3 linked regions of the Elephas maximus indicus genome follow. The protein of the gene in region 2 interacts with the protein of the main gene of each other region in a biochemical or structural test. Links are inferred from orthologs where the notes say so. Each region holds a gene or a part of one and is shown on either strand. Other genes may lie near its edges.

Region 1 (6,711 bases), on a different chromosome or scaffold from region 2:
GTTGTGAAAGACCAGGACAGACTGAGGGGCTTTTCCACACTGCCAGAGACTAAAGAGCCATGACAAATAAATGCAATGTAAGATCCTGGACCGAGTCCTCTCAGTGCCACAGATTTCTCTGGGGCATTTGGTGAAATTAAAATGTGGTTTAAGATTAGCTGGTGGTACAGATTGAGTTGTGTCCCCCAAAAAGATATATTGAAGTCTTAACCCTGGAGCCTGTCACTGTTTGGAAATAGGGTCTTCGAAGATGTCATCAGTTAAATTAACATGACGTCATAGTGGAGTAGGGTGGGTCCTAATCCAATCTGATGGATGTCTTTATAAAAGAGAAGAGACACAGTGAGACAGAGGAAAAACTCCCTTGTAAAGATGCATTTACACACCAAGGAATTCCTGGGGCTACCAGAAGCTGGAAAAGACAAGAAAGGAAATTCCCCTAGGGACTTCATAGACTATGGCCCTGTTGACACCCTGAATTCGGACTACTAAACTCCAGAACTGTGATGCAAATAATTTCTGTTCTTATAAATCACCCAATTTCTGCTCTTATAAATCACCTTGTCAACACCCTGAATTTGGACTACTAACCTCCAGAAGTGTGACACAACTAATTTCTGTTCTTATAAATCACCCAATTTGTGGTGTCTTATTGCAGCGCTAGGAAACTAATACAGATGTTCAATGTTCAATGTTCAGTGTTAATTTCCTGATTTTTGTGGTTTTATTGTGGTTTGTAGGAGAAAGTATGTGGCTATTTCCTGATTTTGCCTTATATTACAGGGAATTATGGGACATGAGATTGACAAATTACTCTCAAATGGTTCAGGGGAAAAAAACTTCCCTGTACTGTACTTCCAACTTTTCCATAAGTTTGTGATTGTTTTGAAATAAAAGCAAATAAATCATTGACATGTGAAGAGGTGAACAAAGAGTGTGTAGCTAAAAATTGTAGGCAAAAAAAATTTTGGATATAGTGGTGATAGTTGTACAACATTGTGGATGTAATTAATGCCACTGAATTGTATGTTTAAAAATGGTTAAAATGGCAAATTCTATGTTATATATGTTTCACCACAATTTAAAAATATGTAGGCAGATATTATCAGGAAATTTGTTAATAAAAATATCTTGCTATTCTCCTGGGTTTGTTTGTGTTTTCTGTCAGTTTATTTTAAATTTATAATTCGTAGCAATTTGTTTTCGCATGCTTAATATTCACATTGATATCTAATTTTCTCTTCTTAAAGAGGACCCTGCAATTTGTATAAGACGTTCTAAGCCCCATAAAACCAGTATCCACCTCTGGCCATTCTTGCCACTATTTTAAAGAGGAGGAAACTGAGGCACAGAAAGATAAAGTGATTTACCCAAGGTCACTCAGCTAGGAAGTGATGCAGCAGGATTTGAACCTAGGCAATCTATCTCCAGAATCTCCTCCAGTGGGATGCAGTGAGGATCCAGCGAGATAAAAGGACATGACAGGAACTTTATAAATTCAAGGAACCAAGATTATTCACAATTAAATGAAAGATGTGTGCCTGTTTTTCTGCAGGTATTTAGTTCCTTAGGCAGAGGAAAAGGGGAGTAAAGTCCCCCTACTGTGTGCCAGAAGCTGCTTGGAACTTGAAATCAGGATTTCATTTTGTCCTCACAGCAGCTCTGCTGGCAGGTATTATTGCCCCAAATGAGGTGCCGGGGGCCCACAGAGGACACACAGCCAGAATGTGATGGAGCCCGGAGCAGATGCCCAGGCTAGGTGGTGACAGCACGTATCTCTCCCTTCCCAGGGTAGCAGGCTGCCCTATACTCTGAAAGCAAAAGGTTTGCCAGGCTGAGCTTGCCCAGGTGCAGGGATGTGACACAGGTGAGGACCTCCTCACCTCCTCCCCCACCCCACACCCCACCGTGAGACAGATGCCCAGGACAGAGGAGTCATGTTGTGGGCAGGGCAATATTTCTGCCCAGAGCACAAGTGGGCATCACCTGCAGACCCAGCAGCAGCAAAGTGGGTGCTCACCCAGGTAGCCACCAGCTCTGGTTGCATGATTGGACCAGTGGCTGAAGGGAACAAACAAGGACTTCCCAGTCAGACAGATCTGGGCTCTGTCCCTTCCTAGCTGCGTGACCTTGGGCAAATGGCTTCACCTCTTTAAGTCTCACAAAGTAAAAATCTTGCCCCATAAGGAAGTTCTGAATATTAGAGTGCAAAGTACCTGGCATGTAGTAGGTGCTCAGTAAATGGCAGCCATGTTTTATTATTAATCTGTGAGGGCTTCTCAGCAGATGTGGCTTTTTGGGAGCTCAGAGAATCCAGGCTGGGGAGAGGGAATTCTAAAGGAGCTTATTTCTGCAGGCCCCTCTCTGAGTCACCTAGTGCTGCTATAACTGAAATACCACAAGTGGATGGCTTTAACAAAGAGAAATTTATTTTCTCACAGTCTAGTTGGTTACAAGTCCAAATTCAGGGTGTTGGCTCCAGAGGAAGGTCCTTGTCCTTAACCTTCCCATGGTTGAGGAGCTTCTCAGGTGCAGGGACCCGTGTTTAAAAGACTCACTCTGCTCCTGGTGCTGCTTTCTTGGTGGCATGAGGTCCTCAACTCTCTGCTTGCTTCCCTTTCCTTTTATCTTAAGAGATAAAAGGTGGACATAAACCAGAGACTACATCAGCCTGAGACCAGAAGAACTAGATGGCACCTGGCTACAACCGATGACTGCCCTGACAGGGAACACAACAGAGAACCCCTGAGAGAGCAGGAAAGCAGTGGGATGCAGATCTCAAATTCTTGTAAAAAAGACCAGACTTAATGATCTGACTGAGACTAGAAGGACCCCAGAGGTCATGGTCCCCAGACCTTCTGTTAGCCCAAGACAGGAACCATTCCCAAAGCCAACTCTTCAGACAGGGATTGAACCGGACTATGGGATAGAAAATGATACTGGTGAAGAGTAAGCTTCTTGGATCAAGTAGACACATGAGACTATGTGGGCAGTTCCTGTCTGGATGGGAGATGAGAGGGCAGAGGGGGTCAGAAGCTGGCCAAATGGACACAAAAATAGAGAGTGAAGGGAAGAGTGTGCTGTCTCATTAGGGGGAGAGCAATTAGGAGTATATAGTAAGGTGTATATAAATTTTTGTCTGAGAGACTGACTTGATTTGTAAGCTTTCACTTAAAAAAAAAAAAAAAAAGCACAATAAAAATTAAAAAAGAGAGAGATAAAAGGTAGTGTAGGCCACGCCCCAGGGAAACTCCCTTTACAGTGGATCAGGGAGGTGACCTGAGTAAGGGTGGTGTTACAATTCTGCCCTAATCCTCTTAACATCAAATTACAACCACAAAATGGAGGACAACCACACAATACTGGGAATCATGGCCTGACCAAGTTGACACAAATTTTTTGGGGGACACAATTCAATCCATGACAGGCCCCCAGAGCTGGAGTCAGGGAAGGGGCCTCTAGATAGTGGGCACAGTCCTCCAGCCTCCCAGGGTCCTGGCTCCCTCCCCCACTGCCTGTTACTTACCAACAACAGGCTCAGGGCCCCAAGGTTAGACAAACAAGCCAGCGATAAGGCATTTCCAGGTTGGGCTTGCGTTCAAGGCTTGCGCAGCTCTGGGCTGGCTGCCTGGCTTAGTGAGAGCCCTGGTCTTGCGTGCACACAAGAGCAGGGCACCAGTAGGGACACCTGCCATGGTCACCTGCTGATTGCGCACCTGAGGCCTTGGTGCCCTGGTACAGCCTGGGTTAATGACCCTGTTTATCCGCTTGAGTCGCCTGATAAGGGGCAGTGGGGTCAGCTGGCAGGCGGCCTTGTGCCCTGCACCGGCCCTTTCATTGACAGAAGTGATATCAGTGCCACATGGAGCACCCACTGTGCCCCTCCCCTGCCACTTCCCTGTCAGTCCTGCCAGGGTCAGTGTGTGTGTGTGTGTGTGTGTGTGTGTGTGTGTGTGTGTGTGTGTGTGTGTGTGTGTTTTTCAATGAACATGACTCCAGGAGTCAAGGTTGTCTGGGCATTCCCCCCTCCCGCCCTCGGGGATATAAATAGCACCCACAGCTCAGAGCAGAGGGCGGGAGAGCTAGGAAGAAGGAGAAACAGATCCCAACCATGAGCTCCAGCCAGCCAGCGGCCTGCCCATGCCAGGGTGCTGCCGGCCGCCCAGCCATCCTGCATGCACTCCTGAGCCCTAGCCTCAGGGCCAGGCCCTTCGTCCCCCCAACTCATAGCCGCTGCCTGTGCCAGCAGCACAAGCCTGTCCGCCTGTGTACTCCCCACCGTACCTGCCAAGAGGCCTTGGATGTTCTGGGCAAGACGGTGGCCTTCCTTAAGAACCTGCCATCCTTCTGCCAGCTGCCCCCCCAGGATCAGCGGCGGCTGCTGCGGGACTGCTGGGGTCCACTCTTCCTGCTTGGGCTGGCCCAAGACACTGTGACCTTCGAGGTGGCCGAGGTCCCAGTGGCCAGCATACTCAAGAAGATCCTGCTGGAGGAGCCTGGTAGCAGTGGCAGCAGCAGTCAGCTTCCTGACAGGCCCCAGCCCTCCCTGGCTGCAGTACAGTGGCTTCAGTGCTGCCTGGAGTCCTTCTGGAGCCTGGAGCTGGGCCCCAAAGAGTATGCCTACCTGAAAAAGACCATCCTCTTCAACCCTGGTGAGCCTCCGGACACTCTTGGAGGGATGGGTCAAGGCTTGGGGTAGGGGGAGGTGGATAAGGCTCATCCAGGGAAGGCACCTTCTAAGGGCTTGACATCCTTTATCTCATTGGGTCCATATTATCATTAAATACTCATCTCAGTGAAGAGGCCCACAGAGGCTAGGTGACTTGTTGAAGGTCATGCAGCCAGGTAGGGGCAAGACAGGGATCAGGAACTCAGGTCTATTCGCTCCAGAGACTGGCCCTTGTTACTCTGTACCCAAAATGTTTCCCTACCCTTAGGGAAGGCAGGAATGGGGTGAGAACGGGCAGATGCAGCTGTGTTTCGATCCCATCTCCAGGGGCAGACCGTGTAGTAAGCTTCTCTGAAGGTAGAACTCCGTGGGTTCAGAAAAACCACATAGAAGGGAGGAACAAAGGGCGTGTTCGGGAGAGGGAGGGAGTCTTAGTGACACTCACCAGGACAGCACCAGTTGGAGATACAAGCAAAAAGTTGGAGATAGGGCTCTTTTAATCTGGAGAGCATCTGAGATGAGAGTTCCCCACCAAAGGGCCTCACAGAATGCTTACTTACAGTAATTCATTATAATAATAGTAGTGAATGCTCATATTATACTTACTGTATGTTAGGCCCTATTCTAGGGGTTTTACATACACTAGCTCATTTAAACCTCAAAATAAGCCTATGAACTAGGTACTATTACTTCCATTTTACAGATAGGGAAAACTGAGGCACAGAGATGAGGTAACTTGCTTAAGGTCACATAGCTTATAATTGACAGCACTGGGATTCAAACCCAAGCAGCTCTTAACCATTACTTTATACTGCCCCTCTATACATAGATGGATGAATAAAGTGAGCAACGAATAGGAGGAGGTCATGACTGGGCCTCAAAGGCTGAGCAAAGGAGGCAGAGAGGTGTCTGCTGGCAGCCTTGCCCTTTGATGGCTGGGAGTGGGGTGCTCACCAGTCCTTTTCACCCTGTCTGCCCACAGATGTGCCAGGCCTCCTCGCCCCCTCCCACATTGGGTACCTACAGCAGGAGGCTCACCAGGCGCTGTGTGAGGTCCTGGAGGCCTGGTGGCCAATAGGCCAAGGCCGATTGGCCCGGATCCTCCTCATGGCCTCCACCCTCAAGTCCATCCCACCTGGCCTGCTTGGGGACCTCTTTTTTCGCCCTGTCATTGGAGACGTCGACATGGCTGGCCTTCTAGAGGACATGCTTTTGCTGAGCTGACTTGCTCCGGCCCAGGCAGAGATCAGGTGTAGGCTGGGCAGAGGTTAGCAGCACTGACTCAGCCTGGCTGACCCCAGGAGTCACCCAGTGCTTCTGAAGGGGGCAAGCCTATATAGACAGCAAGCCACGCCTAGTCTAGCCAGATGGGCTATGGGACCTTCACTCAGCTCCACCCTGCCTTGGCTTCTTTGGTTTGGACACAGTGCTCCAGCTGTCTGGCTAGCCCTTGGTGGTCCCCAGGGCCTCTGGCCCAAGACTACTCTCCTGTCTGGGATGAGAATGGACACTTAGGCTGCTCGTTGGGCCAAAAGTCTACTGCCTTGTACAGAACTCACTTAAGTTATTGGTTTTTGTAATAAAAGGTATGACACCCTCAGAGTCTGATACTGTAGTTTGTGCGTGTGGAAGGGACCATCTCACCTCCAGGGTCCATCCTGCCCCTTTCAGAGGGAGTCCGGGGGGAAGGAGCCATAACAGGTACAGGAGCTGGGCCTTGGGGAATTGAGGTATTAATTTTTCAGGATGGCTTGATGATTTCATTTTCTGGGAAGATTTATTTTGCATCTGGGTCTGAACTCAGGGGACAGGATTAGTTCAAAACCCCCGTACCTCCTTGGTTTTATCCTTGGAGCAGGGGCTTCTCCCCCATCCCCAAACCCCCACTGACTCCTTCTCTGGTCCTTACCCCCTACAGGTTCCCACTCCCCTCACTAAGAGTCTGATCATAGCCAATCAGGCAAATGAAGCAGCCCATTCCCAAGTTGAAACAGACAAGGCCTCTGGAACTGCTATAGTAGAATAATTCACTTTCCCCATTC
Region 2 (7,944 bases):
TGTCCTGTAGTGTTGCTAGGAGTCAGAATCGGCTTGAATAGGTTATGGATAGGTGTAGAAAACCCTCCCCAAATCATATTATGCACTCATAAGGTTGTCCGAGTTCCTTCCACCCACTCCGTCCCCCAAATCAGGACCATGGTTTCCTCAGAACACCTTTAATTTCCATTAAATGGCCAATTTATAAGGTACATGCAATTATTACACCCATATTCAGTTAAGGACTTTAAAGTAGAGAAATAACTTACCCAGTTACAGACCCAGTAAGTAGTGGGGCCCAAATTTGAACCAAGTACTCTGATTCCAGTCTGTGAGAACTCCAAAATTTAAAAGAAATGTGATTTTTACACCCCTAAAAGGGGCGTTAAAATGTTGCCATTTTCCATCTTCAGTAAATATTAATCATTTTCAGTGGTCTCTCAGGTTACTTCCTATTTTTAAAACCACTAACCAGTTGCAGAGCCCAGGTCTTTCTTCTTAAGCTGTCTTCAAACTCAACAGGGAATGTGGGTTTTCTCCCCATCCTCCTTGCTCCCTGCTCAGTCTGAGAGGGAAAAAGAAGCATAACCTCCCAGTTCGCACAGCTGTTTTTTCCTGAGCCTTTATTTGGAGGTAAATGCAACTGGCGTTTATTGTGTACTGCCATTCTTTTTTTTTTTTTTCAGAGCACTGTTAATTTATATTGCGTAATCATTTACAGATGCATTTGACTGCAGCTACAGGCTATTTGAGAAAGCAGTGGAAGAGCTGAGAGGCAGCAGGATTAAAATGTATAAACGCCAATGTTTTACCTCCTGTCTGTCCCCTCTCCTTACCCCACCAGGCTACTGTTTGAGTGATCGTGACCATCCTTACTTAATGGTCAGTCTTATATTTTACAGAAAAGAACCCCCTTCCCAAAGAACAGGGTGACTAACATAAATAAAGCCGAGTTGTCCTGTGGTACTGGACGTGCCTTTATCGCTCTAGTGAAGCGGGAACATCAGGTAATTTTACTAGTCATCACAGAGCCTGCTGATCCTGTTTTTACTGGGTGCAGCCTTCTAACAGTTTTTCCTCCTGGAACTTCAGGATCTTAATAAACACAGCAGCATGCTCACTGACACTGCAGGTTTTCCTAGGTTGGCAATACTTAATTTACTCAGTTTGCTTTCCACAACTTAATCTGTGCATCAGGTATCTGAAGCTGGATGCTTTCCCTTATAAATACTGGTTAAATTTAAATCATTAAGTGGTTGCAGTAATTCATACAATAAAAAGTGCAATACTATTAGCCAAACAAAGTACACAGAACAAGAAATTTTATTATCTGGAATGCTGGTGCATTACAAATAACAAGCTTAATTAGAGGAGGAGAGAGAGGGAAACCTCAGATACTGAAGTGGATTTCTGGGCAGGTTTAAAACCTTTAGAAGATTAATAACATAATTGTTCAATTTTTTTAGATGTACAACTTTCCTCTTACGTTACAATTTGCACCCACAGTTCTTATAGTATTAATTTCAACTAAAATCTTTTGCCTGTTAAGTGAGAGAGGAACAAAACAGAAATTTCCCCTGTGTATAAGAGTGTTAGAAATTATTTTTTTGTACTTTCAGTAACATACTGTCTAAAATTGTTAATGAAAGAGGTCTTAATTTTTTACCGTTTAAAGTGGTCACGACATGGATTTTCTTGTATAGACCATCGTAGCTTTATAAATGATCAAGATACATATATAAACAAAATTAAGATGCTCTGGAAACACATTTAAAGATACAGCACATGTGATATTTTTGGATTTGCTCATCTTTTTGAGATACTGAAAACAACTCAATTTATGTTACAGTAATAATTTAGCGTTTGATAACTACGACTTGAATAGGTCACAAAATCAGAATTTTCAAAGTTTTCTCAATAGGCTTCCAGTCCAAATAATTCAAAGACATCTTGTGTCCCACGCTGGACATTTTCGTTGTTCTTTCTCATCAGACAGGTACTATCAGTGGGCTCTTTTACTGGCAGTTCGTCTTGGTCATTCCCTGTTCTTGCAAAGCCATCCCTTGCTGTGCAGCCGATATGAAAGCTATTTTCCCAACACAAGGGAAACAATCTGGATTAATAGCAAAGTCAAAGGCATGGGTGTTTCGGGGCATTCTTGAAAACATTTCTCAACAGTCCGCAGGCCCTTCCTTCTTGGCGATTCTCTTCGTTTCTCACAACTGTGCAGTCACTGTCCTATCCTCTTCTACAAAATGAACACAATGTTTTTTGTTTTTGAAGATCAAGTGTTGCATTGGCACGGAGCTATTTCGAATGAACCCAAAAAATAATGGGATGCTGGGTCTCTCCTCCCTCTTCCACCAGCCTTTGCTTACTCCCTATCGATCATCTCATCACAGCCGAGTTCCTCGGTCAGACGATTGACAACCATCAGGGAAAAGAGCTCTTCGATAAACGCCAACTGATCAAACGGGGTCTTCTCGTACTGCACCTGAAACCCGCCGTCCAGGGCGGCCTCCCTGGCTCCGGACGTTCGCAGGAACAGCTTGTTGGCTTCTTCCAGGGCCGCCGACACCCTGTAGCCGGCACCCCGGAGCTGCTGCTCCTCGGGGTAGTCGTAGTCGTCCTCCCAGTCGTCCAGTTCCTCGCCCTCGTCCCCGCTCTCCCCGTCGGCGGCCGCCGGCCCGGGCTGCTCCCCGCCGCCGCGCCCGCCCGCCAGGCCCGCCGCCCCGGCCATCGGCGGGGCCTCCCCCTCCTCCATCGGGCCTTCCTCCTCCAGCTGCGGCACGGCCCCGGGGCGGGCGGGGCTCGGCGACGGCTCGCGGCTCCCGCTGCCTACCTCCATCTGCGGAGGGTCGCTGTCGCCAGACATCACGTCCATCTGCAGGTCAGGGCTCTCCTCGTACAGCTCGGACAGCTCGGACATCTCCGCCATGATTGCAGCCGCTCACACGCTAGCCAAGCGTCCCCAGCGAGCGCGGAGAGACGCGGCGCTGCGCTTGCGCAAACGCTCTGCGGGTGCGTAGCCCCGTACGCATGCGCGGCTCTGCGGCTGCCGCCTCCGCCTGGGGCGCTGCTGGGGTGGGGGCCGCTGGCGGGTCTTCGGAGACAACGTTGGGAGTCCGAGCGGCCTGACGTCTGCGCGTCGGTGGATTCGAACTTCACACCGAGAGACTGTGCGTGCAGGGGCACGACTGTCTTTGCCCTGCTTAGCCGTTCCGCCGCTTGTGGTGCTGCGGAGTTGAACGCCCCGCTGCCTTCGTGACAGCACTTCACCCTCCTCCCGCTCTTCCCCCCGCTCCTCCGGCGTCTCCTCCTCCCAACCCCCGTCCCCAGGCAATCACAGCTGTTCTCAAGGGTTCGCGGCCTTGGGTTTAAGCGCCACATTTCACACAGACACGCAGACACACAGACACACACCCCGTGGAGTCGATCCGACTCCTACTTCTCCAAGCTAGACTGTATTCTCGACCACTGATCTAGCTTATGTATGCGTTCTGCTTTTCTGTTTTCGTCACTTAAAAATACCTTAAATTCACAAAGAGTAAGTACCTGTGTATTGGGTTTTCCCTAAGTACCACTGAAGAAAAATTCATCGTCGTTTTCTCCAGGAGGTAACTTTCTACGAATATCAATTCGGTGTGTGTTCTTCCAATCCACTTTTTGCATGTATATGGATCTTTATGTCCCTTTGGAGAATATATTATTTTCTATGTGTGTGCGTTTTTACATATTTCACGTAACGTCCTCTAAAAAAGCCTGGACAATTTAGCTTCGTCAGTATGCGTACACATACCACTTTATTTTTGCACAGCATTCTATTGGATAGATATGCTATACTTGACCTAACAATGGGCAAATATTTTTAGATTTTTTAAAATATTATAACCATTTATCCAATGTGCCAGTGTTTCCCTAGAGTCAATACCTAGGAGTGGAAAGGCAGTATTGTAGGGTATGTATAAATCAGTTGCTATAGTAGAGTTGATTTTGATTTGTGGCCGCCCAGTGTGTGTCAGAGTAGACCTGTACTCCACTGAGTTGTTTTTTTTTTTTTTTGATTGTGCTTTAAGTGAAAGTTTACAGCTCAAATTAGTTTCTCATACAAAAATTTATACACACATTGTTCTGTGACCCGTCTAATGTGTCACACACTCCTCCTTGCCACCCCGGCTTTCCTGTGTCCGTTCAACCAGCTGCCATCTCTTTCTGCCTTCTCATCTCGCCTCTGGAAAGGAGTTGCCCGTTTAGTCTCCTGTATCTACTTGAACTAAGAAGCACTTTCTTCACAGCAATCATTTTATGTCCTAGAGTCCAGTCTGATCTTTGCATGAAGGTTTGGCTTCAGGAATGATTTTAGTTCTAGGTTAACAGTCCAGGGGCCCTGTTTTCCGGGGTTCCTCCAGTCTCAGTCAGATCTTTTTAGGTGGATTTGAGTTCAGCACCCTGCCTTTCTCCGGCTCCCTCAGGAACTCTCTGTTGTGTTCCCTGTCAGGGCAGTCATTGGTGGTAACTGGGCACCACCTAGTTCTTCTGGCCTTAGGCTGATAGCATCTCTGGGTTATGTGGCCCTTTTGTCTCTTGGGCTAATATTTTCCTAGTGTCTTTGTTGTTCTTCATCTTTCTTTGCTCTATGTGGGTTGGGATCAATTGATGCATCTTAGATGGCTGCTCATAAGCTTTTAAGACCCCAGACGCCACTCACCAAACTGGAATGCAGAACATTTTCTTAATAAACTTGGTTATGCAACTAGATGTGCCCTGAAACCATGGCCCTACACCCCTGTCCCTGATACTCTCTCCTTCAGAGTGTTGGGTTGTATTCAGGAAACTTCGTAGCTTTTGTTTCAGTCCAGTGTGCTGATTTGCCTTGTATTGTGTGTTGTCCTTCCCTTCAGCTAAGATAATTCTTGTCGGTTTTGGTGGTTTACTATCTAGTTAGTGAATACCTCTCTCCCTCCGCCCCTCCAGCCATCGAAGAATGTTTTCTTCTGTTTAAACCTTTTCTTGGTTTCTTAAAATAGTGGTCTCATACAATATTTGCCCTTTTGTGACTAATTTCACTTAGCATAATACCTTCCAGATTCATCCATATTATGTTTCACAGATCCATCATTGTTCTTTATCGTTGCATGGTATTCCATTGTGTGAATGTGCCATAATTTGATGGGCGCCTAGGTTGTTTCCATCTTTTTGCTATTGTGAACGGTGCTGCAGTGAACACGGGTGTGCATAAATCTATTCCTGTGACAGCTTTTATTTCTCTAGGATATATTCTAAGGAGTGGAATTGCTGGGTTGTATGGTATTTCTAGCTTTTGAAGGAAGCGCCAAATTGATTTTCAAAGTGGTTGTACCATTTTACATTCACACCAGCAGTGTGTAAGTGTTCCAGTCTCTCCACAACCTCTCCAACATTTATTATTTTGCATTTTTTTGAGTTAATGCTAGCCTTGTTGGTATGAGATGGTTTCTCATTGTAGTTTTGATTTGCATTTATCTAATAGTTAATGATCGTGAGCATTTCTTCGTGTATCTGTGAGCTGCCTGAATATCTTCTTTAGTGAAGTGCCTGTTCATATCCTTTGCCCATTTTTTAATTGGGTGATTTGTCTTTTTGTAGTTGAGGTTTTGCAGTATCTTGTAGATTTTAAAGATTAGATGATGATGGGAATTTTCATAGCTGAAAATTTTTTCCCAGTCTGTAGGTAGTCTTTTTATTCTTTTGGTGAAGTCTTTTTTTTCTCAGTTATCTAGTTTTTCTTCTGGTGTTTGTGCATTGCTAGTAATGTTTTATGTTCTGTTTATGTCATGTGCCATGGCTCCTAGCATTGTCCCTATTTTTTTCTTCCGTGATCTTTATCGTTTTAGATTTTATATTTAGGTCTTTGATACATTTCGAGTTAGTTTTTGTGCATGGTGTAAGGTATGAGTCTTGTTTCATTTTTTTGCTGGTGAATATCCAGTTGTGCCAGCACCATTTGTTAAAGAGACTGTGTTTTCCCCATTTAAGGGACTTTGGGCTTTTGTCAAGTTTTAGCTACTCAGAGGTGAAAGAATTTACATCTGGATTCTCAATTCTGTTCCATTGGTCTATGTATCCATTGTTGTACCAGTACCAGGCTGTTTTTACTACCGTGGCGATGTAATAGGTTCTGAAATCAGGTAGTGTGAGGCCTCCCACTTTGTTCTTCTTCTTCAGTAATGCTTTACTTATCCAGGGCCTTTTCCCTTTCCATATAAGGCTGGTGATTTGTTTCTCCATTTCATCAAAAAATGTCGTTGGAATTTGGATGGCAGTTGCATCGTGTTTGTAGATGGCTCTGGGTAGAACTGATGTTTTCACAATATTGAGTCTTCCTATCTATAAGGGTCGCTATGAGTCAGAATCAACTCGAGGGCACTGGATACTGGGTATCTATAAGCAAGGTATGTTTTTCCACTTATATAGGGCTCTTTTGGTTTCTTGCAGTAATGTCTTGTAGTTTTCTTTGTGTAGGTCATTTACTTCTCTCATTAGATTTATTCCTAAGTATTTTATCCTCTTGGGGGCTACTGTAAATAGTATTGATTTGGTGATTTCCTCTTTGAAGTTCTCTTTGTTGATGTAGAGGAATCCAACTTATTTTTGTGTGTTTATCTTGTATCCCAACACTTTGCTGAAGTCTGGTTTTAGTTCCAGTAGTTTTCTTGTGGATTCCTTGGGGTTTTCTGTGTGTACGATCAGATAGTTTTACTTCTTCCTTACCAATTTGGATGCCCTTTATGTCTTTTTCTAGCCTAATTGCTCTGGCTGGGACCTCCAACACAATGGTGAAAAAGAGTGGTGATAAAGGGCATCCTTGTCTGGTTTCATGTTCTCAAGGGGAATGCTTTTATACTGTCTCCATTTAGGATGATGTTGGCTGTTGGCTTTGTATAAATGCCCTTTGTTATGTTGAGGAATTTCCCTTCTGTTCCTGTTTTGCTGAGAGTTTTTATCATGAATGGGTGTTGGACTTTGTCAAATGCCTTTTCTGCATCAATTGATAAGATGATGTGGTTCTTGTCTTTTGTTTTATTTATGTGATGGATTACATTAATTGTTTTTCTAATGTTGAAGCATCCTCACATACCTGGTATGAATCCCACTTGGTCATGGTGAATTATTTTTTTGGTATTTTGTTGAGTTGTATTGGCTAGTATTTTGTTGAGGATTTTTGCATCTATGTTCATGAGGGATATAGGTCTGTAATTTTTGTTTTTTGTGGTGTCTTTACCTGGTTTTGGTATCAAGGTTGTGCTGGCTTCATAGAATGAGTTTGGGAGTATTCCATCCTTTTCTATGCTCTGATAAACCTTTAGTAGTAGTGGAATTAACTGTTCTCCAAAAGTTTGGTAGCATTCTCCAGTGAAGCCATCAATGCCAAGGCGTTTTTTGTTGTTGTTGGGAGTTTTAAAGTTACTTTTTCAGTCTCTCTCTCCTTTTTTATTATAGGTTTATTTAGTTGTTGCACCTCTGTTTGTGAGAGTTTAAGTACGTAGTTTGTTTCTACAAATTTGTCCATTTCCTCTAGGTTTTCAAATTTGTTGGAGTACAATTTTTCATAGTATTCTGTTTTAATTTCAGTTGGGTTTGTTGTGATATCGCCCATCTCATACCTTATTTGGGTTATTTGCTTCCTCTCCTGTTTTTGTTTTGTCAGTTTGGCCAATGGTCTGTCAGTTTTTTTTTTAATTTCAAAGAGCCAGCTTTTGGTCTTGTTAATTCCTTCAGTTGTTTTTCTATTCTCTATTTCATGTAAGTTTGCTCTAATTTTTTTTATTATTTGCTTTCTTCTTGTGCCCGAGGGCTTCTTTTGCTGCTCTCTTTCTATTTGTTTGAGTTGTAGGGTTAATGTATTGATTTTGGCCCTTTCTTCTTTTTGTACATGTGCATTTATTGCTATCAATTGACCTCTGAGCACTGTTTTTGCTGTGTCCC
Region 3 (7,577 bases), on a different chromosome or scaffold from region 2:
GCACATGGAAAGTAACAATGATATATTCAGATCTTGCTGTTACTTGTATATTAACTATGTTTTCACAGACTGAAATTTCTGAAACTGTTTTAAGGTGAAGAAAATTAGATCGCTCTCACAGGGGGACTACAAACACAAAATCTCAGAATTCAACGTAACTATTTCCAGCCTTCTACATCGTAGTCAACTAGGAGGGGCAGGCTAGAGAGATAAGAAGAGCACTTTAGGCAACTTCCTTAACATTGTTTTCTCCTTTGTAAATGGAGGTGATATTACATGTGAGCTGTAAGGCCCCCTCAGTTTAATACTCTATTACTTCCACCACTTTTCTTTTTGAAAGTAGCCAGGAAGTTTCAGATCAACCTGGGTGCGTGCTAAGAACACAGGGTCCTGAACCACAGTGAGCACGCACCCATCCATCGGTTTTAAGCATACTCCTGCTATATTCAAAGTCCTCGCTTCAGGTCTAACGATAACGGTAAGTCATCATCATCACAGAAACGCACAGGCTGTTAAAAATGAACACAAAACCAGCTGGCCTAGACGTTGAGGCTGTAAACTAGTAACCCATGGCCAAGTGCATCAAACACATAGCAGAGAGATACATGTGTGCACAAATCCATTTCAGCCAGAACTTAAATTTCTGATGATGAGTGCCTTCAGCCAGGTCGTGGCTTCTCCAAAGTGGAACTAAATTTTGTTCATTCTAATATAAATCAACATTTATGGAAGTGAATTATACTAGAGAGTATCTATTTCTAGTTTCCATGGGGGAAGTTGAAATTTGCCCAAAGTTCAAATTTCTCCTTTCAAAACTTGAAGTCTTCAAAACACTTCAAATTTATGAACTCAATTAGCAGCAATAAAAACTTAGAAAATAGGAATTAATCTTCAGTAAATCGGGATAGTAAAATAAATTAGATTGGCTCTGTGTCTAGAGCCCAAATTGAAATAAATTATCTAACAGTTTGGTGAATTTATAATATCGCTGTGGGTTATTTTCCTGAGTTTCAAAAAGGTATGAGTTAGGAGCTAGTGATAGAGAAATTTCACGAGACATCTTGAAGAAGGGGGAAAAAAAAACAACAAAAAACCACGCATTTCAGCAATTTTTTTTTTTTTAAACTTAAAAGGAATAATGATTGCAAGATAATTTTATTGCGGGAATAATAACTGATTTATGTATAGCTTTTAATCCTTCTGTTACTTTAAACAAACAAAGCAGTTCACTAACGGTTAGAATCTGCAAAGCCAGAGAGGAGAACCCAATTAATTTCATCCACCCTTCTGGAAAAACAACTGGTGGAAATCTGTAGTGCTCAATCATCGATGATCCCCCAAATTACGAGGAGACTGCAAAAAACATGTTCAACCCATTTGACAAGCAATAATGCCAATCTGGAGTCCCTCCACGTTGTGCTTCGTGTCCCCCTCCCTACCGCCTCCATCCCCATTCTCTCTCTGGCTTTAGAAAAGTAACGCTTTTGTCAAGCAGGGACAAATGACTTCATGTTGGTGGATAGCAGGAAAAGCACACAATGACTCTTGGAGCCATCTGAGTCTGGGCTTGTGAGAGCTGAAAAGGAAGATAATCAAAAAGAACTGGATGAGCTAATTCCTACAGACCCAGACATACAGGACTACCAGGCAAAGGGTTAGTACTCCATCAACGGATCCTTACGTGCTCTGAAAAGAACCTCTTTGAAAATGAGGCTACAATCTTCCGGGCTTCTAACCCTGCTTTCTGTCGAACTTTATATTCCTCCAACCAATTGACGTAGTCGGTGGGGCTGTAGTGTTTCATAAGGGAAGGCCACCTACAAGGAGAGAAACACCCTCTCAGCTTAAGAGACTTGGGATTGCAAAGGCAGCCTGGGGAACCTGGGTGGCAGCAGTATGGGTCAGTAGTGATTAAGGGACCCTGGCTCTAATTCAAACCTCCACCAGGGCCGCACTCAGGCACTCACTCCTGGTGTGACCTTGGCGAAGTGACATCACTGCTGTCTCCATTCCCCATCTATAAAATGGGGACAATAGTAGCACCAACAATAACAACAAGTAACATGTATTGGGCGCCTTCTAAGAGCTGGGCCCTAATGTAAGGGCTTCCCACACATCATCTTATTTAGAAACCACTCTAAGAGGCAGGTCTCATTATCATCACCATTCAAAAGTCCACGAATAAGGCTCAGAAAAAGGGAAGTCACTTCTCCCAAGGTCATGAGCGAGTAAGTGGCAGGGCCGAGATTTTATCCCGGGTCCAACATTGAAATCTGCTCTCAACGAACAACCAGGGGATGTTGCGCTCGCTTCCTCCAAGGGCTGTTAGGACCACTGCGTTCCCCGATCCGTGTAAACATTTTAGCACAGACTCGGGCACAAAAGAAGCGCGCAAACTGGATTAGCGGTGACACCGCCATCGTCATCCTTCATGGAGGGCCAGTCTGCTGGCACTTCCAGATGCGCAATTTGGGCACCGGAGGGTCCGCAGCGGCGTAGACCCGCGGGGCTAGCGGCCTGGAGGCCTTTGTTTGTCTGTCCGTCCGCGGGAAAGGGGCCGGGGGTGGGGTCCTGGTGCGGCGGCCGCAGGGAGGGAGGGGGCGGCTGAGGCCCGGCAGGCCCGGGGTCCTGGGGGCGCAGGGCCGGGACTGCGGGCCGCGGGCTCGGGGACGCGGGGAGGGTCGTGGAGCCCGGAGGCGGGGCCGGGGCGGGCTGGCGGCCGGGGCCGCGGGCTCACCTCACCCGGAACTGCTCCTTCCACACCTTCCCGCTACTCTGGCATAGCTCGCGCAGCCGCCGGCAGGTGCTGGAGACGCGGCCGATGTCGGCGGCCGTCAGCGAGCCGCTGCACAGTATGTACTCCAGCACCTCGCCCGGCAGGTTGACCAGGCAGCTGAGTCCCGCCGCGTCCGGCGCGGCCTCCTCCGCCAGCACCGGCACCACCTCCATCGCGCTGTCGACCACTGCCGCCGCCATCTTGTCCGCGTACCTGGGGCCGCCGCGTGCGCGCGCGCCAGGGCGCCCCGCTTCGCCCCGCCCACCCGCCTCAGGGGGCGGGCCCCAGATCGCCCCGCCCACTCGTGGCCACAGGCCGGGCCGGGGGTTGCTCTGCGCTGCGGGAGCGGCCAGTGAAGGAAGCGGTCTGGGAAAACGTGCTGTGTCCAGGACCTGTGAAGGGTCTCTAGCCCTCTATTCAGGGGCAATAAGAATAGCAGCCATCTTTCTTATATGTATGCCGAACACCTCCTGTGCATTAGCTGATGGGACCTTCCCAACAACCATGTTGTTGTTGGGGGCAGTAGGGGGCGGGGAGGATTCCGATTCCTGGGAACCCCATGTGACAGGGGAGAACTGCCCTATAGGGTTTCCTAGACTGTAATCTTTACGGAAATAGATCACCAGCTCTTTCTCCCGCGGAATGGCTGGTGGGTTAAAACAGCTGACCTTTCCGTTAGCAGCTGAGCTAACCATTGCACCGCCAGGGCTTCTTGTCCCAACAACCACATGAACTATTATTATCCCTCATCCCAAATCACCGGTGAGGAAACTGAGGCTCAAGGAGGTAAACTGTTTGCTTGGGACCCCTTGCTCTGGGTTCTAATCCACATTCTCTTGACTTCTGCTTTACTGTGTTCTTAACCAGTATGCTGTAATAATCACAAAAAAGTGCCAAGCGCTTTCCATATATGTTTTCGAGGGCTCCTCATTCGAGCCCTATGGGATAGGTACCTTGATTATGCCCATTCTACAGATAAGGAAAACAAGGCTCATAATGGGGTTGGCTCAAAGTCAGAGATAAACAGTGGTATAGCCTGGGTTTCAACCTTCAAAGCAGGGATTACCACTCAGATGTAGGTGGGTACTCTTCTCAGTGCCTACAACTTCTTTTCTTAATTCAACTCAGTTCAGTGCCAGGCCCTGTGCTGTGTGCCCTGGGGATACCGAGGTGAGTAAGACAGAGTTCTTTGCCCCAGGAGCTCAAGGTCCAATTAGGGAGGACAAGCAGGTCTGTTGTCAGTACATGGAGGCTGCCGTAGAGAACTCCCCCTAACCTGGAAATCAGGATGCACAGAGAGTTGAACTAGTAATGTCCCTCTTAGTGGATGGGATAGAGCCATCTATGGCTCCCTACTGCCCTTAGAAATAAATCTGAAACCCCTGACATTGTTGCAAAGGGACAAACCCCTGTCTACTACTCCTTGCCTCTATCCAGCCATTCTCTCCCGCAGCAGCCACACACAGCCAGACTGGTCTTCTCTTTCCTCCCCCTTCTGGCCTTGACACACATTCTATTCCTCTGCCCGGAATGTACTTCAAGCCAGCACAGCACTCCTTCTTCTAGCTGTTCTTCCTCTTCCTCTGTAGTCATTAGGTGCCATGGAGTTGCTTCTGACTCATAGCTACCTTATAGCAGGGCTTCCAAGGGGCTATATTCCATTTCAAACCCCTGCTGAGAATTTGCATTTCCAAACCAGATTTAGTAAATACAATCACCTGGGGATCTTGTTAAACTGTAGATTCTGACTCAGAAAATCTGGAATGGGAATGCAAATTCTCGGCAGGGGGTTGAACCACGGTTGGAAGCCCTGTCCTATAGAACCCAGTAGAACTGCCCCGGAGGGTTTTCTAAGCTGTTATCCTTATAGGAGCAGATTGCCAGGTCTTTTCTCTCGTAGAGCTGCTGGGTGGGTTCAAACCGCCAACCTCTCCGTTAGCAGCAGAGCACTCTAGTCCTCAGTTTAACCTCCCTGGATGTCCCCCCTTCCCTCACTCACCTCCCTCCCACACACCAAATACAGCTCTTTCCCAGCACTTTGCAGTCGTGTAGTTATTAATACCTATTTGTTCAACTTGCATCAGAAGCGATTTCAGAATCAAGGCCATGTCTGTTTGAATCACCTCTGGATGCCCAGTTACCGGGCACAGGCCTGGCACATACGTACATAGCAGATTCTCAATAATTACCTGTCGATTGTGTTTGTCTAACCAGCTGTGTGACTAGACCAAGTTACGTAGCCTTTCTAAGGCTCAGTTTCCTCATCTGTAAAATGGGGATACTAATTACAGATGAGGAAACCGAGCCTGGTGGCACAGTGGTTAAGTGCTCAGCTGCTAAACAAAAGGTTGGTAGTTTGAACCCACCAGCTGCTCCATGGGAGAAAGATGTGGCAGTCTGGTTCTGTAAAAATCACAACCTTGGAAACCCTATGGGCAGTTCTACTCTGTTCTATAGGGTCTCTATGAGTCGGAATTTGACTCCACAACAATGGGTAATAATGTCTGCCCCCTGGGGCTGTTGTGAGGATTAAATGAGTAAATTCATGTGTAGTATGTAGAACAGTGCCTGGCACACAGAAAGTGCTCGATAAAAGTCTGTTACATTGAAGAGTGTGCTTCTTTGTTCAAGGAGGTACACGAGACAAAATGGGCAGCTCCTGTCTGGAGGCCGGATGAGAAGGCAGAAAGGGACAGGAGCTGGTTGAATGGACATTAGAAACCCAGGGTGGAAAGGAGGAGTGTGCTGTCACATTACAGGGATACCAACTAGGGTCACATAACAATGTGTGTATAAACTCCTGTATGAGAAATTAACTTGAGCTGCAAACCTTCACCTAAAGCACAATTAAAATAAAAAAAAAAAAGCCTATTATGAGGAAATGGGGAGAAAACGCTTAATGGGTACTGGGTTTTATTATTTATTTATTGTGCTTTAGGTGAAAGTTTAGAAACCCTAGTGGCATAGTGGTTAAGAGTTAACAGCTGCCGACCACAAGGTTGGCAGTTCGAATCCACCAGGCGCTCCGTGGAAACGCTATGAGGTAGCTCTACCCTGTCCTATAGGGTCGGTTTGAATCAGAATCGACACGACAGCAATGGGTTACGGGTAGGTAAAAGTTTACAGAGCAAATTAGTTTCTCATAAAACAACTAATACACAAATTGTTTCGTGACATTAGTTGCCAACCCTGAGATGTGTCAACACTCTCCCTTTCTCCACCCCGGGTTCCCCATTTCCATTCGTCCAGCTCTCCTGTCCCTTCCTGCCTTCTCATCTTTGCTTTGGGGATGGTGTGTCCATCTTGTATACACGATTGAACTACAAAGCATGTTCCTCAAGTGTGTTATTGTTTGTTTTATAGACCTGTCTAATCTTTGGCTAACGGTGAGCTCCAGAAGTGACTTTAGTCTTGAGTTAAAATGGTGTCTGGGGGCCGTAGTCACAGGGTCTCTCCAGACTCCATCTGGCCAGTAAGTCTGGTCTTGTTTTTTCTTTTTATTGTGCTTTACGTGAAAGTTTACAACTCAAGTTAATTTCTCATTCAAAAATTTATACACACATTGTTTTATGAGATTGGTTGCAATCCCCACAGTGTGCCAGCATGCTCCCCCTTTCTACCCTGGGTTCCTCATGTCTGTTCTTCTAGTCCCTGTCCCTTCCTGCCTTCTCATCCGTCCAGCTTTTGGACAGGAGCTGCCCATTTGGTCTCGTATATCTGATTGAACTAAGAAGCACATTCCACACATGTATTATTTTTTGTTTTATAGGCCTGTCTAATCTTTGTCTGAAAATTGGCCTTCGGGAATGGTTTCAGTTCTGGGTTAGTGGAGTGTCGGGGGCTATAGTTCTGGGAGTTCCTCCAGTCTCTGTCAGACCAGTAAGTCCGGTCTTTTCAGGTGAATTTGAATTGTTTTTTTCCGGGTTTGATTTTGGGGGTGATGGAAAAGTTTGGGAACTAGATAGAGGTGGCGTTAGTTGCACAACATTGTGAGAGTACTAAGTGCCACTGACCAGTTCACTTTAAAATGGTTAATTTTTTGTTATGTGGATTTGACCTCAATTAAAAAAAAAAAGTGTGTTACTACTATTTCTGCTACTACAGCTTCTACTCTCATGAAAGCAGAAAAGTGTGGGGCAGCTCCGGCAGTCAGGCAGAGCTGGGGGAGAGTCTGGGCCTTCACCACCTTTAAATCCAGTAGATGTTTTCTGGCCTTGCTCTTGCCTTCCCTCTAGCAGTAGCTGACTCTGTTTACTACCCTGCTCCCTCTGGACCTTCTGGAAACACTGGTTTGCCTTGGCATCTGTGGCCCCACCTTCTCTTGGTCCTCCCACCTCACCCAGATGTCACGTGTTGGAATTCCTCGGGTGCAGGCCCCCTCTTTCACTCTCTCTTCTGACCATATCACCCCTGTCTACAACCCAAATGACAATCCAAACCCAATTTAAACCTTCACGTTTCTCTCTTCCACCCAGCCTGCTCTTGTAACATCTAAACTCTCTTAGCCAACTGCTGACCTGACATTCCCTTTGGGCCGCTCAAAATCAGTCTCTCCAGGAGGTAACTCTTTCCCCTCAACTTCACCTTGTCCTCCCCCAGTGGTTCCTGCTTTAGGAAAGGGTTACCCATCCACCTTTTTCTTGCAGAACAGAAAGTTGTAGCCATCCCTGCCTCCTCTCTTTCCCTCATCATTCATAACCAAATGCCCAGTAGAGTTTCACTTCTCTGGGCCTCAGTCTCCTCACCTGTAAAATGGGTATCATGATAGGCCTTCCTATTAAATGAAACAATACATATACAT

Evidence for each region. The genes of interacting proteins can lie anywhere in the genome.
Region 1: the proteins of EID1 (region 2) and NR0B2 form a complex in vitro, tested with the Homo sapiens proteins (3 studies listed by BioGRID). The link is inferred for Elephas maximus indicus from reciprocal best matches to the Homo sapiens genes EID1 and NR0B2.
Region 3: of the proteins of EID1 (region 2) and FBXO21, one has a biochemical effect on the other in vitro, tested with the Homo sapiens proteins (2 studies listed by BioGRID, with this or other methods). The link is inferred for Elephas maximus indicus from reciprocal best matches to the Homo sapiens genes EID1 and FBXO21.

The regions. Positions count from the first base shown.
Region 1 is NC_064821.1:67,348,301-67,355,011, reverse strand, and holds NR0B2 (nuclear receptor subfamily 0 group B member 2), read left to right. Parts: upstream 1-4,084; 5' UTR 4,085-4,111; coding exon 4,112-4,652; intron 4,653-5,651; coding exon 5,652-5,893; 3' UTR 5,894-6,201; downstream 6,202-6,711. UniProt on the Homo sapiens protein: Transcriptional regulator that acts as a negative regulator of receptor-dependent signaling pathways. Specifically inhibits transactivation of the nuclear receptor with which it interacts.
Region 2 is NC_064828.1:6,458,852-6,466,795, forward strand, and holds EID1 (EP300-interacting inhibitor of differentiation 1), read right to left. Parts: upstream 3,001-7,944; 5' UTR 2,918-3,000; coding exon 2,354-2,917; 3' UTR 154-2,353; downstream 1-153. UniProt on the Homo sapiens protein: Interacts with RB1 and EP300 and acts as a repressor of MYOD1 transactivation. Inhibits EP300 and CBP histone acetyltransferase activity.
Region 3 is NC_064840.1:14,886,194-14,893,770, forward strand, and holds the start of FBXO21 (F-box only protein 21), read right to left. Parts: upstream 3,011-7,577; 5' UTR 2,977-3,010; coding exon 2,738-2,976; intron 1,818-2,737; coding exon 1,682-1,817; intron 1-1,681. UniProt on the Homo sapiens protein: Substrate-recognition component of the SCF (SKP1-CUL1-F-box protein)-type E3 ubiquitin ligase complex.